Caenorhabditis elegans: one gene and its partners. The protein of the gene in region 1 interacts with the protein of each later gene in a pairwise test. Each region holds a gene or a part of one and is shown in the gene's direction. Other genes may lie near its edges. The genes, in order: cki-1, cdt-2 and cyd-1.

What was found.
Region 2: the proteins of cki-1 (region 1) and cdt-2 interact in a two-hybrid assay, tested with the Caenorhabditis elegans proteins (one study listed by BioGRID).
Region 3: the proteins of cki-1 (region 1) and cyd-1 interact in a two-hybrid assay, tested with the Caenorhabditis elegans proteins (one study listed by BioGRID).

What each region holds. Positions count from the first base shown.
Region 1 is NC_003280.10:7,809,449-7,812,698, forward strand, and holds cki-1 (Cyclin-dependent kinase inhibitor 1), read left to right. Parts: upstream 1-1,791; 5' UTR 1,792-1,810; coding exon 1,811-2,019; intron 2,020-2,076; coding exon 2,077-2,422; 3' UTR 2,423-2,657; downstream 2,658-3,250. UniProt on the Caenorhabditis elegans protein: Negative cell-cycle regulator that functions at the G1-to-S-phase transition. Required for suspension of the cell cycle in dauer larvae and starved L1 larvae.
Region 2 is NC_003283.11:14,987,047-14,993,100, reverse strand, and holds cdt-2 (WD_REPEATS_REGION domain-containing protein), read left to right. Parts: upstream 1-1,974; 5' UTR 1,975-2,107; intron 2,108-2,181; 5' UTR 2,182-2,188; coding exon 2,189-2,305; intron 2,306-2,357; coding exon 2,358-2,502; intron 2,503-2,553; coding exon 2,554-2,748; intron 2,749-2,801; coding exon 2,802-3,260; intron 3,261-3,744; coding exon 3,745-4,351; intron 4,352-4,777; coding exon 4,778-5,080; intron 5,081-5,131; coding exon 5,132-5,354; 3' UTR 5,355-5,554; downstream 5,555-6,054. Other genes in the region: T01C3.3 (RING-type domain-containing protein), read left to right, coding at 429-963, 1,059-1,216; T01C3.2 (Transcription and mRNA export factor ENY2), read right to left, coding at 1,528-1,665, 1,709-1,783, 1,830-1,913; F02D8.4 (Peptidase M14 domain-containing protein), read right to left, coding at 5,645-5,846, 5,900-5,987, 6,034-6,054.
Region 3 is NC_003280.10:12,986,396-12,993,690, forward strand, and holds cyd-1 (G1/S-specific cyclin-D), read left to right. Parts: upstream 1-1,827; coding exon 1,828-1,941; intron 1,942-2,235; coding exon 2,236-2,565; intron 2,566-2,677; coding exon 2,678-2,939; intron 2,940-3,070; exon of another isoform or gene 3,071-3,254; intron 3,255-5,595; coding exon 5,596-5,732; intron 5,733-5,784; coding exon 5,785-6,159; 3' UTR 6,160-6,722; downstream 6,723-7,295. UniProt on the Caenorhabditis elegans protein: In association with cdk-4, regulates the progression through the G1 phase of the cell cycle during postembryonic development. Regulates proliferation of the coelomocyte lineage and intestinal cells during late embryogenesis.

The sequences.
Region 1 (3,250 bases):
CTTCACTGGGTGGTCTCATTTTTCATTTTAACCTGTTAATTTATTCCGGCTTCACCTCTAATCCTTAATGACATTAACATCTTCCTAATGTGTCTAAGCTTTTCCCACGGAAAGCTAATTTCCTCTCTCTTATTTTTCTCATTACCGTTCTGGTTGAGCTTCATCTTATACCGTGAATGGTTTCATAATTACGTGCTACATAATTTGTTATGCTGGTCGAGGCTCAACGTTTCGAACATCTGGCTCTTTTCCTTCAGCTAACCACACCACTCTTCGTTACAATCCCTTCTGCGCACACATATCCTATCTACCAGCCGGACAGATGCTCGTTTCTCGGTGCAAAACGTTGAGAGTTGAGATCGAGCAGCCGGTTGGTAGTTCTTAATGACAAATTGCCAAGACTTTTTCTGAATTATTTTAGGATTTAAAACTTTTCTAAAGTATTACGATAGTTCATAATTTCTTTCTTTTTTAAAAATTGGCTCTTTTTTGTAATGTATGGTATCTAACTAAAACTAGGCCTCATTTCCATAACTATTCTTTAAATTGAGTTGAGCTCAAAGAGCTTAGACAGAACTGGTGTGAATCATAGAACCCACCTGTGTTTTTACTTTCTTTGAAAAATGTCGGTCACTTAGTCGTCTCTCTGTCTGTTCCTTTTCCTAATCACAAGTAACAACACACAGTCTTCTTTCACATATATTATTTGTTGACCAATCGTAGGGTCAACTATCTAGTACTCGAGACCGCCTATTTGAACAGAGCTCCTCACTGTCACCAAATGTACCGTATTGCTTTCCGGCTGTTATTGTTGTTATCACTGCTTCTTCTTCCTATCATGTTACCCATCCAACTATACACCTTAGACTAGTCATCTTATTGATATACATTCCTCCCATCCAACACAACGGTATTCTATTTATTTATCCAATTAGTCATAGTCGTACCACCATCCAGCACGAAGGTGCCTCTTTAGTAAAGAGTAGAAAGAAGAACCGGATGGGAAATGTTTTTGTTACAAAAATGACACATATTGTAGTGGACAGAAGGAGTGAGACAGACATGAGCAAGCCAATTTGTTTATAATTTCTCTTCTAGAAAAAAATACATTTTTCCATACTTCACTAGTCAAAACCTTTCACCTTTCTAATACATCTCGTAAACCATAATCTTGATAGTTCTGAGCATTTCAATACGAAAGCTTCTCACTGTCTAGATCTCTGACTGAGTGCCCTCATCAAAAGTGCAATCTGTCATCTGTTTCCTCATAATCACGGAGCACTAATTTTTCTCTCTGCGTCTCTATAATCAGATATCTCTCGTCACTAAGAACTTTCCGAAATGTTTATGCTTCTCATCTGACCACTTCGGTTCCGCACAAAAAAGTACGGCATTCCAAAAGAAATCTGATCCCCCTCCGTTCATTCGTGGTCCGAGTCGGTGCCACCAGTCGTTGCGCATTGAATATTTGTTTGGTCCGTTCCCCTTCTTCTCCGACTGCTGACCTCGGGCACTTTGATGACCGGGCCACCACCTCAGTACCCCTCTATTACACCCTCTTTGCCTCCGCGCATATGACTCCACCCCTTCTCGTGGAAGGCGTGTATCTCCCCTCTTTTCCGCTATTCCCTCGATGGATATATATTCAAATGTATGTGTGTTCCTGACGGGAGGGCGTCTCGCTTGAGAGCATCGTCACATCTTTTACAATTTTACTTATGATTTTACTTCATCTTCTTCTTCTTACTGCGATTTTGATATGCATTCTTATGTAAACTATTATTATTCCAGGTTTCCTCACTCTTTTCAAATGTCTTCTGCTCGTCGTTGCCTTTTCGGTCGTCCGACGCCCGAGCAACGCTCCAGGACTCGAATTTGGCTTGAAGATGCTGTTAAGCGCATGCGCCAGGAAGAAAGCCAGAAATGGGGATTCGACTTTGAACTGGAGACTCCCCTCCCAAGCTCTGCTGGATTCGTTTATGAAGTTATTCCAGAGAATTGTGTTCCGGAGTTCTACAGGTAATTGAATTTTATAAATTTTTCATAGTTATTTTACTAAACAGTTTCATTTTTCAGAACCAAAGTTCTCACTGTCAGAACCACATGCTCATCGCTGGACATCAGCTCAACGACTTTGACTCCATTGAGCTCTCCGAGCACATCTGATAAGGAGGAGCCCTCGCTGATGGATCCCAACAGCTCGTTCGAAGATGAAGAGGAACCGAAGAAGTGGCAATTCAGAGAGCCACCAACTCCACGGAAGACCCCAACAAAGCGTCAGCAGAAGATGACCGACTTCATGGCAGTTTCCCGTAAGAAGAATTCGTTGTCTCCAAACAAGCTGTCTCCGGTGAATGTGATCTTCACTCCAAAATCTCGTCGTCCAACGATCAGAACTCGATCTTCATGCTCTCCATACTAGAGGTTTCATTTTGACTTTTTTTTGCCCAATTCCACGGGTTGAATCTAATCATTTGATTATCTCCTCGACAGTTTCTGAGTCTCTCTTAATTGTTCAACTAGTCATGTTTCCACAAATGTTTTATTGTTTGTTCCAAAAGCCCTGTGATCCATGTTTAGGAACTCTGTAACTCTTTTTTCCCATTGCCATTTGTTTTAAACAACTCAAAGAAAAATAAACCCTTTGAAATTATTTTAAGAACTGTATTCTGGTGTTTTCTTCAACTTATAAAAAAAAAGACGAATAGAAACTGGCACACGGTGCAGTTCCATTGGTAACTTCAGCAAAGAATATACTGAAATCACGAAAAGTGGTACAATTCCGCGCATAATTTTGAAACTTCTAACATTCTTCATTAACTTCAAACTTCAAACATTCTGTAAATGTTGTAAGATCAAATAAATCTTTCCCGGTTCACCCACTGCCACCCAAATAGACATTGCGTGAAGATTGCGTGAATTTTAGGTAGCTACCAGCCGGATTAGGCTTCTCTAATTCAAATTGAGTAATATGGAACGTTTATGAGTATATGCTAATAATAAATAAGCATGTTTGATTACTAATTACATAACACCAAGTCATCATATCAATGGACCTTCTCTAGTCCCATAAATCATTTTTATTGCATAACTTTTTCTGAGAGTACATTATCAACATCGTCCTCCTCCCTTTTCTTATATTTTATGTGCTATTCAACCCAGAAAGACAGTTCCCCACGAGAAGACCTTGGAACGGACTTTTTATTGCGGTTTGCATTCAATCTCCGAGTAGACATTTTGAAGAGGGAAC
Region 2 (6,054 bases), on another chromosome or scaffold:
TACCCCGCTGATACGGTAACCATTCATTATTTTATTTCGCAATTTTTCTCTTGATATTTTACTTCTTTCACATTAATTTTATGATTTAAATACAGTTTTACATCAAAAAGAACACAAATCAATGAAAAAACAAGGACTACGAGAAAAAAAAACAAAAAGTGTGTTTTGATCTTGATCTTGACCCATTGCGGCTGGCGGCAAAACTTGGATTTTCATTTTTATGCGTTCCAGTTTCTTGAGCGTTTCTGAGTGTTTTCGGCGCATTTCTGGTTTTTTTGGAGTTTACAGCCTTTTTCAGAAATTGTTTCACTCGATTTTTCTATTTTTTCTGTGCATATATGCACAGAAAAAATATATGGTTTCCATTTTCCGAGTATCTTCAAATCTGCGTTTTGATTTTTTACTTTTCATTCTAATTTTCAGGTAAGATGTCGTCTAGTGGCTCTCCACCTTCCACGCTTGTATCGACTTTCGAGGAAGCAATTGCGAAGTTGACCTCACTTTTTGGCATGATGCGCATGATGGAAGCAGAAATTAAGGATCAGCGGAACAATCTTCAAGCATTGAAAAATTCCCAGCGCCTGTCTGTCAGAGGAAGCATTCAGTCAAATATGTCGAGCAGGACGGATGGAATTCTTCAACGAAGACTAGATGAGACGGAGAGAAAGTTGGCCAAAACTTCAGCCGAACTCAAGGCCAAAGATGAGAAGTTGAAGAAGGAGACGGCAAGTCTTGAAGCCAGTCGTGAGGCTCATCGATTATTGCAAGAAGAATCGAACAAGTCGAAGGTGTCTGTGATGCGCCTTACGTTCAAGCTCAATCGCATCACACATGAATCTGTGAAAGAGCAGGCTGTTCTGAAGAAGAAGCTTCTGGACTGCGAGACCCGACTCGCTACATATTCCGAGTGCCTCGTCTGCTACCAGAAGTTTGACGAGAACACAAGAATTCCACGTGTCATGGGTGAGTAAATAAACGGATTTAAATGCTTGCTTGATTATAGATTATTAAGCTGAACTCTTATCAATTTCAGTCCAATAATTCTATCAAATTTTCAGACTGTGGACATACTCTGTGCGACTTCTGCATCAATCAGATTGTCAAGATGGCGGGTTGCTACAGCGCAACATGCCCTTTTGACCGTGTGCGCATTTTTGGATTTGGGAAGAGTCGTCGTCTCGAGGATCGCCCTTGCAATCGATTCATCATGAAATAACTGCTCCCATTTCTACATTGAAGACTCACTTATTGTATTGTGAATACTCTTATGTACATTGTTTTATCGAGAATTTGTAAATAGTATTATACTTGCACCTCTAACCTTTTTTTGCACCTTTAACCTATTTTATTTAGATTTCGTTTACAAAAAAGAAACAATAAACATTTCATGTCATGTTTTTCCTCAAATTCTCCGTTCTGTTATTGGAATTTACACCGATGAGAATCATGTTGCGTTCAATTTTTTATTGAAGAAATTTTACAAAATATAATGAGATCACAGTTGATTTCTTTCCTCGTAAAAGCGAATCATTTCTTGTTAGTAGTTGTGACGAATTCGAGAACTTGATCGTAGAGCTTCTTCTTTGCTTCTTGTGGAATTTCCCTTCTCGCCATATCCTTGACAGCATCGAAAACCTCCTTGGCACTCACGTCATCTCTGGCTTTCTGAAAAATGAGAATTAAGCGATTATGTTTGAACGAAACTGACCTCCAAGAACTTCTTCACTTCTTTCCTCACAGCGATCTCCCATTCACTATTTTGCAGACTGCTGAGTAATGTACTCTAAATTTATTGGAATTATGCCACCGAATTTTACGAATTTACTCACTTTTACAAGCGCCGACTCTCCACTGTCTTGAAATTCCATTTCGATCTGCTCTGGCTTCTTACGCATGATCAGGTCGTCGTTCATTTTTCTTTTTTTTTAGTTTTCTGAAAATTAACATAATTAATAAAATAAAACAATGCTTTACAGCAGATTTTAAAGAGAAAAACGAAGACATACACAAAGAAAGAATATGTAAAAGGTGTGTCGATTTACGATAAACAACACGCGGGCGCAATAGTGGAGTGTCGTAAGATCCGCGAAAAATGTGAATTCGAAAGGTTTCTTTTTTCTACCATTTTATAGTATTTTCTACCATTTTATCATTTTCTCAACTAAATTTCACTTTTTTCAGATAAAATATGGATTTTCTCCATTCAACAAAAGCTAGAAAAAGATATCTTCGATATCCATCATCAATATATGAAGAATTAGAATCAAAACATTATTCTATGCCGGCCGGAGAAACCGATGATCACGTAAGATTTTGCTGAGGAATACGCTGATAATTTCATAAAAATAGTATTTCAGGACACTTGGGTAACAGCCAGGTTTTCGCCTCACTTGAATCAAGAGCACATTTTGTACATGGGAGATGATCCGGGAAATATAGGAATTTTCGATGTTCGCAAGTTTCAAGATCGATCAGTGCCTTTGGAAGAACGGCAACTTTATTGTGATCTGAGCATACCTTGATTGAGGAATTTAAAAATCAAAAAGATTTCAGTTTTTCCCGCTCACGATGGTGCAATTATGGACGTTGTAGGTGTTCCCCAAAAGGAATCGCAAATTGTTTCAATATCTGGAGATTCTACTATTCGATGTTGGGATTTAAATCAATCTACGTTGGATCGAAAGTCCCAAGTGTTTTTTGGACACGAAGGATCTGTACGGTCGATCTGTTTCGCTCCGGATGATCCTAGTAAGTGTTTTTGATATTTTAAAAAATTTTTCGTGATAAAAATTTAATTCCAGACGTTTTTGTGACCGGTGGACGTGATTTCCAAGTCAAAATCTGGGATATGCGAGTATCCACAGTGAAGAAGATGGAAGAAGATTGTCGAATGGCAACTATCACATACAAGACTGCACATCCAAAACCATCAAAAGTATTAACATCAGGAACTCCTAAATCAAAAGCAAAAGCGAAAACGATAGAAGGTTATAAAGTGACAAGTGTTCTTTTTCTTGATGAGCATCACGTGGCAAGTGCTTCAGAAAATGCAGATAGTGGAATACGAGTCTGGGATATTCGAAAACCGACAAGAAACGGAGAAGGCCAGCCAGCCAGAATTCTAAAAGTTCCCACATCCAACAAAAAATCGTATGGGGTGACTTGTCTGACATTAGATCGTTTTGGTAATCGACTGTTTGCGTCATGCACCGATTCTTCAATTTTCGAGTACTCCGTTCCATCGGAGTCTGTTTCACCGAGTAAGGTTTATCGAATTTGGGTAGAAATCTCAGAAGAGAAAATCAGATTTATTTTTTAGCCGCGGCAAATCTACAAATTTTTTCATTAAAATTTAGTGATAGAGTATAAAAAATCATTTGATTCATATGAAAGTAGCTTATTTTTTAGCTGGGACAATTGAAAAAGTGCTCAAAAATCGCCGTTTGCCGAATTTTCCGGTAATTTTCAAGACAAGTTTTGAGCACTTTTCAATTTTTTTCGACTAAAATTATAGCTAATATCAGAAAATTCAAATTTTTTTTGCCATATTTTAGCACTAAATTTAATGAAAAATACTAGAAGAACATGCCATACTAGCCAATTTTGTAGAATTTCTGGTATCTCATCAATTGAGAAAGTCACAAACAAATAAAAGCATTACTTTGTGGCATTCCATGTCTTGTGCTTCAACCACGTTGCCGACACATGTTCTCGATCAATACACAAAAAACCTTGAACTTTCAGTTAATTCCTACACTGGCGCCACCATTCACAACTTTTATACCCAAGTCGCCTGCTCTCCGGTTTCTGATGTGATCGCATGTGGAAGTGAGGATAGTCGGGCTGTTGTTTGGGATCTTCAGGATCAATACAACTACATGAATGATCGAAAACTTCCGGATGATATTGACAAGCGGAGAACGAAACTTCCGCGATTTTCCTGCGATGGTCATCTTAAGCAAGTGTTGAACGTCGGATGGAGTTCTCGTGGAACATATTTCATGTCTTGTGATGAAGGAGGCGTCCGAATCTGGTCAGAGCCTAGGAATAGATGTACATGGAAGTTGAATGACGAAGATGATACCTCTTACCCGACTACTTCCCAGGAGCTCGGACTTTCATACGAAAAAATCAAGAAATTTGAGCTAAAAGAATCTGATGAAGCTATGTCGTGTTTCGATAGTATTTCCTTATCACCCAGACAGCGAGCTGATTCTTCCGGACTAAGTGGATCACCACAGAAGAATCGAGGATCGAAAAGACCTATATTTGAAAGCCCGTTAAAATCAATTTGCACAAATAGTCCAAAACCTCTCAGATTGAATAGATCTCCGAGAGCCAAGATGAGCAAGTAAGGAATATTTATCAGAAAAATGCAATCGACGTGGAAGCGTGCTCCACGGCCAATTGAAAACGCTCCGCCCCTACAAGCTGGGTCTCGTTAGGTGTTTGGCGGCATAACTGTAATTCCAAACGTTTTCAGTTCGTTTCGCCAATTTTCAACCATTTTCGTCTTAAAAAAACTACAATTTTCGTTGTTTAAGGTTTTTTCATTTTACTATATCTTTTCAATTTCGGCAAAAAATTATTAAACGCTTGCAACGAAAAATATTTTAAAAATCAAAAAAAAAACCTTGAGATCGGCGGATTTTGCCGTCAATTCCCAACGAGACCCAACATTTTGGGGCGGAGCGTTTTCAGTTCGCCGTGGAGCGCTCTTGCACCTTTTCGATTTTAAGTATACACTTTTCGTAAGCATCTAAAAAAATTATTTCAGATTATCTTTCTCCCCACCATCACCACTTCAACCAACTAATTCAAATAACCAGGATCTTGTCGGCTACCGTACTCCCCGACAAATCCGTAACAAAAAGAAGAAGAATAATCCATTTTACAACGAGCATCCAACTGAGGGTCTGCCAAACTTTGTCTACGATACATTCGTCAAAAAACTCATAGGAGAATCTTCAAAATCTGATATTGAAGATTCCGGAAAATCGTTGAGCAAGACTGGACAGAAGAGAATCGAAGACTGGTGGCAAACCAAGGGAGAAAATGTGGCAACAGTGACAAGGGCGAGGTGAAAAAATTATTAAAATTTGTCATAAATATTCAATATTATAAGTTTCAGACTCCCAAGTGTCAGTGAATTCGGTGAATCAGCATGCTCAAAAGTTATAACCGAAGACGAACGGATCGCTCTTCACTCTCCGCGTAAACTTGTTCTCAAATCATCTTCAACCCAATCTCCGTGCCCATCAAATTCAAAGCCTAAGCCCATCCCAATGACTCCACGAAAACCGATGGATAAACGACCGACAAGTCGTAATCTGTTACACTACTTCAAAAAGTAGAAATTGTGTGTAGAATTAATTGTTTTATCTCTTTCCCAACCCATGTTGCTATGTCATAAGTATTTTCACTCCCCTTCCCCATTTTCATCAGTTCTAAACTGTAAATACGTTCCTTTTTTTTCGTTTTTATCCCCGAAGCCTAATCATCGTCGGTAAAATAGTGAAAATCTGTAAAAGTAAATTAAAATTTTTATTTTTAACCCTTTGTTAGAAACAATTAAAACAAAACAACTGAAAATGTCATTTTTAAAAACCCGTTCCTCTCTTCTTCCTGCTACTCCGTTTGACTTCTACCTCCCACGACCAAATCCACGATTTCCGATTGTCCGTAAGCGATTCAGTAATAGTGTCGATTGAGCAGATGATGCAGTTGATGACGTCATTTGTTTGAATCCGAACTTGGACTTGACCTCGATCATGAGAACTTGAATAGCCTGGAATGCTTCTCGGCACACTTGATTGATCCGATCTTCTGGGAGGGAGAATCCAGTGCTGGAAATTGAAAAGTGGGTGAAAATAAAAAGAAAATAGTCCGGATAACTTACAAATCATCAATTGGAGAGAGCTCGATGGTGTAGGAGTACTTGATTCCACGAGACTTTGCCCAATCATCTGATGCTCCAGCGGCAGGATCTGAAATATAAAGTTTACCAGAATAATCGTATCGTCGGGAACTTACAAAGGCCATCTCCAGAGTTTA
Region 3 (7,295 bases), 5.2 Mb from region 1:
CACCTGGTAGTACGTGTGGGATGGCGCATCCCAATCTCTTTTACTACCATAATTTTCTCAACTTTCACTTTTTCTACTTTTCTAAGATTACTTGAGTGTTAACCTTCCATATCCACCTCTCCCCGTTCCCTGCTCCGTCTGATTTGTTGCTTGTCCGGTACAATTTATGAGTTTGGGAACCCACCACTGTGTTCAATGGGTGGCTCCCAAAACAATAGGCCAAATGTCGTGTGTGTGGTTTAGTGTTTGGATGAACTTTTTAAAGGTGGTGGGGGAGAAATAAAGATACAAAAAAATATATATATATGCTGCCATGGGAGACAAATTTTTGAATTTGAAGGGTAGCGTAGATGTTTAGAAAATGTCAAAAATTTCAGTCCAAGACGAACTTCAAAATTATAGTAGGTCAAAAAATCACTTTTTGACTGTAAAAAAAATTACAAAAGACATTTTAGCCTTGACAATAAATAACATAATTTCTTATTATTTTTCCAGTAAAAGAGCCCCCGTAAGAAAAAATCCTATATATTAACATTAATAGGCGCTTTCAGGTGTAGCGTAGATGTTTAGAAAAGGCCCGAATTTCACATAGATTTTTGGACACTTTAAAGGAGATTTGGCCCTTAATATAGTTTTGGTAGTCTAAAACTACCTAATATATGATAAAACAGTCTGGATTTATTTTAAGATTTTTCAAAATTTTCAGTCTAAATTTTGGCAAAAAAAAACCAAATATATATGGACTTTTTCAGTAATTTCGAGCATTTCTACAAGTTTTCATCCCTATAATATATGAATACAAAAAATTAAAGCCTGTCAAAAAACTGTGAAAACCCACTTTTTAACTGTAAAAAAATTATAAAGGGTATTTTAACACTGACGATAACTAACGTCATTTCTAAATACTTTTCTAGTAAAAGAGCATCATAAGAAAAAATCCAAAATGCTCAAAGTATTTTAGGTGATTTTAGAGCATATCACAAAACTTGAAGTTTCTGCTGTATACTTGGAAAGGCTAGAAGATGCGTAATTTTCTCTGTTTTTCAAAATTTGATTTTTGTTGATTTTTGGAAAGTTAGAAGCCTATTTAGATAACTATCAAAATTTTATTGATTTTTAAATTTCAATTAGTTTTAACACTTTTTTTTTAAACATATTACCCAAAAATGTTAATCATTCTGAACGTTTTTATTTTTTTTTGCCTTATTGACACCCTTTACCTGTCTAGACAGGAAAAGCTGCTAGTACCCTCCGTGTCTCCCGTTAACCTTGGAACTTTGCCAAACCGGAAGAGTGTAGTGATTTTGACACCTTTCTTTGTCAAGGACGTAATTATCGATCCGCAGTTTGTTTTTTTTTCGTGGTCCATAACTGTGCACCAATCAATATTTTAACACCTTATGACCCCCGCCAACCTCTTCCCAATATTGCAATTTGCCGACTGCTGACCCAGTATCCCGCTGTCTTTGGGTCATCTGCCAGCTCGTCGTCGTTCAGTCAGCAACATCAGCGCAGAAGTATTTTTCTTCATTCTCAAAAATCCCAAAACCCCCCGTCTTCATCATCATCACCTTCATTCCTTCATGTGCCTGGGGGAGACGGCTGGCCCTGGGGGGAGGTGGGGGAGAGGGTGCGCAAAAACTGGGCGGAGTCCCTGGCAGTCACCCGCCTCCGGTCACTCGACTGTCATTGCGAGTCAAGGTGCCGTACCTTGACTTACTTTTTTTTCTTGCTTTCTCTCTCCACTTGACAATTTTCTCAAATTCACTAACTTTTTGAGATTTAATAATAAGCATTAATAATAAATTCCTGAAGTTCCATTTCCAGATGGACTTTGAGTCGTCGTCGGCTGGTCCGAGCACATCTTACGCAGAGGAGCCATGCACATTATCGATGCTTCCTCAAGTTTCAGCAGTTTTGTCGGAAACATCTATTACCGAGGTAACATTTTTTTTTCTGGTGTTTAAGTTGTGTGTGTGTCGCAGTAGGAGACTTGTCCTTCTCTATTTTTTTTTGGTAGATTTTTTTCGGCAAAATTTTGACACCTTTTTCGTCGCCCACTCTTTTTCTCTCCCTCACGCTTAATTTCTAATTTTCCTCCAAGTGAAAAAAGATAAGAATCTTCTTTTCGAAAATCTCGACCACTTCATCTATTCAACATGTATGTACATAATTATTGATTTTCAATTTTAAATTTTAAAGTACAATTTTAAAATACAATTTTCAATTTTCCAGTCAAATGTGAGCTGTCAATTACACCCATCTCGATCGGCTGCTCTGAACGATAATGTCCGAACACTGATTTATAACCGTACGGATCCTCATATTCAACTCGACATGCGAGCCTTCTATAACTGTATGGAGTACGAGGAGGCGCTACAGCCCAACTATCACTACTTCACCGGCGTTCAGGAGAACATCACGCCGTTTCATCGAGAGCAGGCGATCGATTGGATTTACGACGTGGCAAAGGAGGAGAATTGTGATGGCGACGTCTTCTTGTTGGCTGTTTCGCTGATCGATAGGTTTATGTCGGTGCAGAATATTTTGAAGCATGATATTCAGGTGAGTATATTGAGTATGTTTGGAATTTCACCTCTAGTGTTAGAAGTACATAAACTAATCCTCCTGCCTCTCCTCCCATCATATCAACATTTATGAAATCAGACCCGTTCAGATGATCGCCGGAGTCGCGCTGTTTATCGCCAGTAAACTGAAGGCCCCACATCCGATGACCGCGTCGAAGATCGCCTACTACTCGGATAACAGTTGCCCCATCGATATGATTCTTCAGTGGGAGCTGCTCATTGTGACGACACTTCAATGGGAGACCGAGTCGCCGACGGCGTTCTCCTTCTTCGACTTTCTCGCCTCAAGAATCCCACAGATTCACAACATGAGGGGCGACTTTCAGACAGTTGTGCAGAAGTGCCAAAAAAGTGAGTTTTCATTTCTTTCATTCCACCTAGTCCAGTAGTTTTTTTTTTGTTCCTTTCACTCCCCCCCCCCCCCCCTGGTGCCCTGGCGCGTGTCATTTTTCAATCGGAAGGGTGTTCTTTCTCCCGTCTAATCTCTATAAAATCGAAGTCGTTTTTTGGATGATGTTGTGTGTGTGTGCGTCGCGTGTCCCCCATTCTTTTGTACTTATTGCCGGCGGTGGGCCACCCATACAGGGTTCCCGGGGCGAAAAAAGGAAACAGAGACAAGTTTTTTTGATGGGTGGTCGTAGGACTGTGCGGTAGGGTCGGGCGAGCGACACCGTTGCATTTACATAATGTGGTGGAAGGGACAAGAAAAATGAGATTTACTAGGATATTTTTGGCCGGGATGAGGGGAGAAAAATAGCTTCTAGAAAAGAAGGAAGAAGCCTGTTTTTTTTGCACTTTCCATATTGATTCATCATTACCAGCCTAATTTAGCCTAATCCACCTCCACCTAAGCCAAATCAAACAAACAAGTTTCTTCTTTCCAGCACAGCAGGTGGGCTAGTGGGCCAGTCTTTGTCTAATGAGCTTAAGTCCTATCTCCCCAAGGGAAAGTGTCCTACCTATCGAAAAAAGTTCATCTTAGACCGAATTGAATTGAGGAAAATTTCGGAATTAGCCTATGCAAACAGTCCAAAAGTTGTTAGTTGTTAGTTTTTGCGTACGGCTCATTGGTCATTTGACACGCGCTGACCTAGGTTTTAGCGCCTTTGTTAAGGCTTCCCACCCCCCAACTACAGATATAAGATACCAAAAAGTAAGTGAGTCAGTACCAGGTACACAAAATTTTGTGCGTCCTCTTTGTTCTCAAGCCGTCCTCCTCTGTGGTGACACACTGAGACGCTAAAAAATGACTGTGTGTGTGCGCGTGTGTGTGTGTGGGGTAGTACAATTTTGCAATTACTCTTAAGAACATCTGGGTGAATATCTGAATTAGAAGAATATGGCTGTAAATAGTGACATGACAGCCCAGGTGGCCCGGGTTCAATTATAGATAGCTATCTCCCGGGCGGCATGGCTTGGGGGGTGAAATTAGTGGGCTCTTAGGGAAACCGTTTAACTGTTGCGGATCACTTGACACCCGAAACAATTAGAAGGCGACTCCCCTTAAACACATGTCGCTTTAATCCCGGCGGTTGAAGTGACTTCAAAGAATAGGCTCTACAGTAGGCAATACCTTTTTCAAAATGCCCTTGTACCTATTGCCCAATGTTTATTTGAACAAAACTTCCGATCGGCATCGCCTTTGGCAACTTGATAGCGTGATGGAATGCTCTGATCGATCATCTCGCAGTGTTTGCCCCCCCCCCCCCCCCCCCCATATCCTTCTGCCTTAATGGATGTTCAGTTATCCAAACGGATTAGGAAAGTTGTGTCCACCTGGCGCGTGCCTACCCGTTGATTTATACATTTGGAAGATTTGGGCTAGATTATGAAAGAATACCGTGTGTGTGTGTTTGTAGGTATGTATGTATGGGGGTGAAAAGGAGTGAAATCTGCGCTTCTTGATTTACGATGACGAGCCCCCGTGATGTTGTGCCTGTTGTTGCGCGGCCCTCACACACAAAGAAAAGTTATGTCGCAATCTGCTCTTCCAAGACACCACCGATGACAAGGGATGTATATCATCTACATTAATGTTATGACAGTATGGGAAGGGTCATCTCTCTGGGGCAACTGATGACATTTGAATTTGAAATTTGAATGGAGATCATCGTATAATAATGAATGTTTCATCAGCCAAGGCCTAATTGATTGACAGTGCCCCCGTAGTGGAATTTGAAAAGGAGCAGCTGAAGAAGGAGTCATCAATCGTTGGACATCCGTTTGACCGATATATAAATTCATTCGCGGTCGATTACTTTTTTATTGGGATTACGGAAGCGTGTGCCATCCTCATTGAGGAGGATGAGATGCTTCCCAGATTTTCAAATATCTTTACATCATCACCATCATCATCATCGTCTACCAGCTGTCATTTCGGGCGGTCTATTCAATTATGCAACATGACCGCGCGATCCTACACATACTGTCAACAGGTGCTCGAGGCTTAAAAGGAGCATAGCCTAATTGCGCATGTTTGAATGGGCTTCTGGTGATTTTTTTGACGCAAGGCATTGTGAAGAACGTGTGATGTCACAAGCGGTTTGGAGAGTCGGTTTTGAAAAAGGAGTGTGAAATTACATGAAAATAGCACGACGACCTTCCTCTACAGTAGGCAAAGTTTATGTTAGCACAAGATAAGCGTTTTACCTCTCTCTCTCTCTCGGCAGCCAGCCCGTTTCAATTTCAAAATTTTTGGCGCGTCAGACCCCTGGAAGATATGTATGAAGGTGTGAAAACGCGCACTTTGAGGCAGAGAGAGTTCCACTGATGTTTCAGACGCCCAGACACTTAGAGACTTGTTCGTAGATAATCATCTATGTCCTCCACAGCCACCCTCTTCGATTTTTCTTAATGATTGAAATCGAAACCTTGAGGCGCGAGCGAGCGAATGATTGGCAGAGGGAACAGTGATGAATGGGCCAAGGGGGGAGAAAAGATTGAACTTAAATTTTGGAATTTTGGAATTTTAATGATAAAATCAATAATATGAATATTGGTTTTTCAGTGCACAAACTTGCCACCTTATTCCCATCCATGCAATGTGCAATTGGCCTCTACTACGTATCGAATCTCCCAACACAGAATAAGGAGCTGGCAGTAAAGATCAAGGATCTCTTGGCAAACATGTTCCAGTTGGAAGTGGTTAGTGAAAAAAAAATCAGCACTTATAATTTCTTATCTAAACCTTTTCCAGAACCTTCTCGACTCGTACATCCCGATGGTGCAGCGTTGCATGAGCACAACGCCAATCTACACATCAGAAGATGCTGAGAAGACGGAACCGACACCATCCGCGCCGGCCTCCACTCAAGAGCCAGAGGCCTTCCAAGAGCTCAAGGAGCTCAAGGAAGAACCCCTCCCAACTCCACCACCAGAGGAACCTGCCTTCCAGAAGCTTGTGCTCCTCGAGCCGATCCCCCTCTCCGAGCAAACTCCATCAACTCCCCTCAACGACTCGGGCTTCTCGTCTGATGTCTCCAGCCCCGCATCCTCAGAGAAGAAGCGTCGTCGGAGCACAGACTGGTTTGAGGAGGACTCGACGCCGCCGAAGATCTTCAAGACTTTATGAACATTTGTTACCCATTATTTTATGCATTGTTTAGCTTCTATGTCGATTCGAAACCAAATCCCAAAAAATCTCAAAACACATCCAGTCTTCCATTTTCTATGTAGCTTTTGCATTATTTCCTAAACTTTAATTTTTAAACCGGTGTTCCCAACAAATCTTCCAGTTTATTATTCTTATTATTCTGAAAAAAATAATATATATATATATTAAAACATTTATTCTAAGTTATTTCCACCTCCCTCCCCCTCTCCGAGAGTTCGGATGTGCTCGAACCTTTTGTTGGATTTTCCTATGAAATTCCAACTGCTTCCTGGTTCTTGTCACATCCACGACTTCGTTTGTGATTAGTCAAATCCTGCCCAAGCCTCCTCCCAAAAATTAATCATTTCTATACTAGAATTCCCACTTGCTTCTTTCATCTTTTTTCCAGATCCCTCTTGCTCAATTCGCTTCCTACACCCAATTCTGATGACCATTGAAATTACTTGTATTGTACAAAAATTCTCGCTGTTTCGATGATTACTTTTTTCTATTTGTGAAATAATAAAGATTCCCCACAACCACCAAACATATATTTCACTATTTACCCGGAATCACCATATGACGTTGTTTGACCCTTCGAGGTTGTGACGTCACACAGACCCCCACTTCTAGAGTTGCGTCAAACTGCAAGCTCGTGAAGCGAGCACTTATTCAAATCTTGACCATAAGCGCAACATACATTATTAGCATCTGTTGATGACGTTGAGCTTGCGCTAGTAGAAGATCAGAGATATGTGAAGCAGGTGGACGGGCCCCTTTTTTTATAAAACAGTGCAAAAAAATTTGTTTCTTGTGACGAAATTGAATTTTTTCCAGCAAATCGGCAATTTCTGTAATAATAGACAAAAAGCAAAGTTATCTAAAATCTCCAAATTGTGCTTGAAAATCGGAAAACCGCTTAGTTTTCATCTGGAACTTGTCTAGAACTGGAGAAACACGTGGCGTCAGTGTGTCCCATGTCGGTTTGATCTACGTAATTGCGGGAATTTAGACGTAGACTTCTGAACTGGATTTGCATGGCTAAGAGCGTGATGACGTCACATTTTTCTGGGTTAAAAATTCCCGCATTTTTGTAGATCAAAACGTGATGGGAC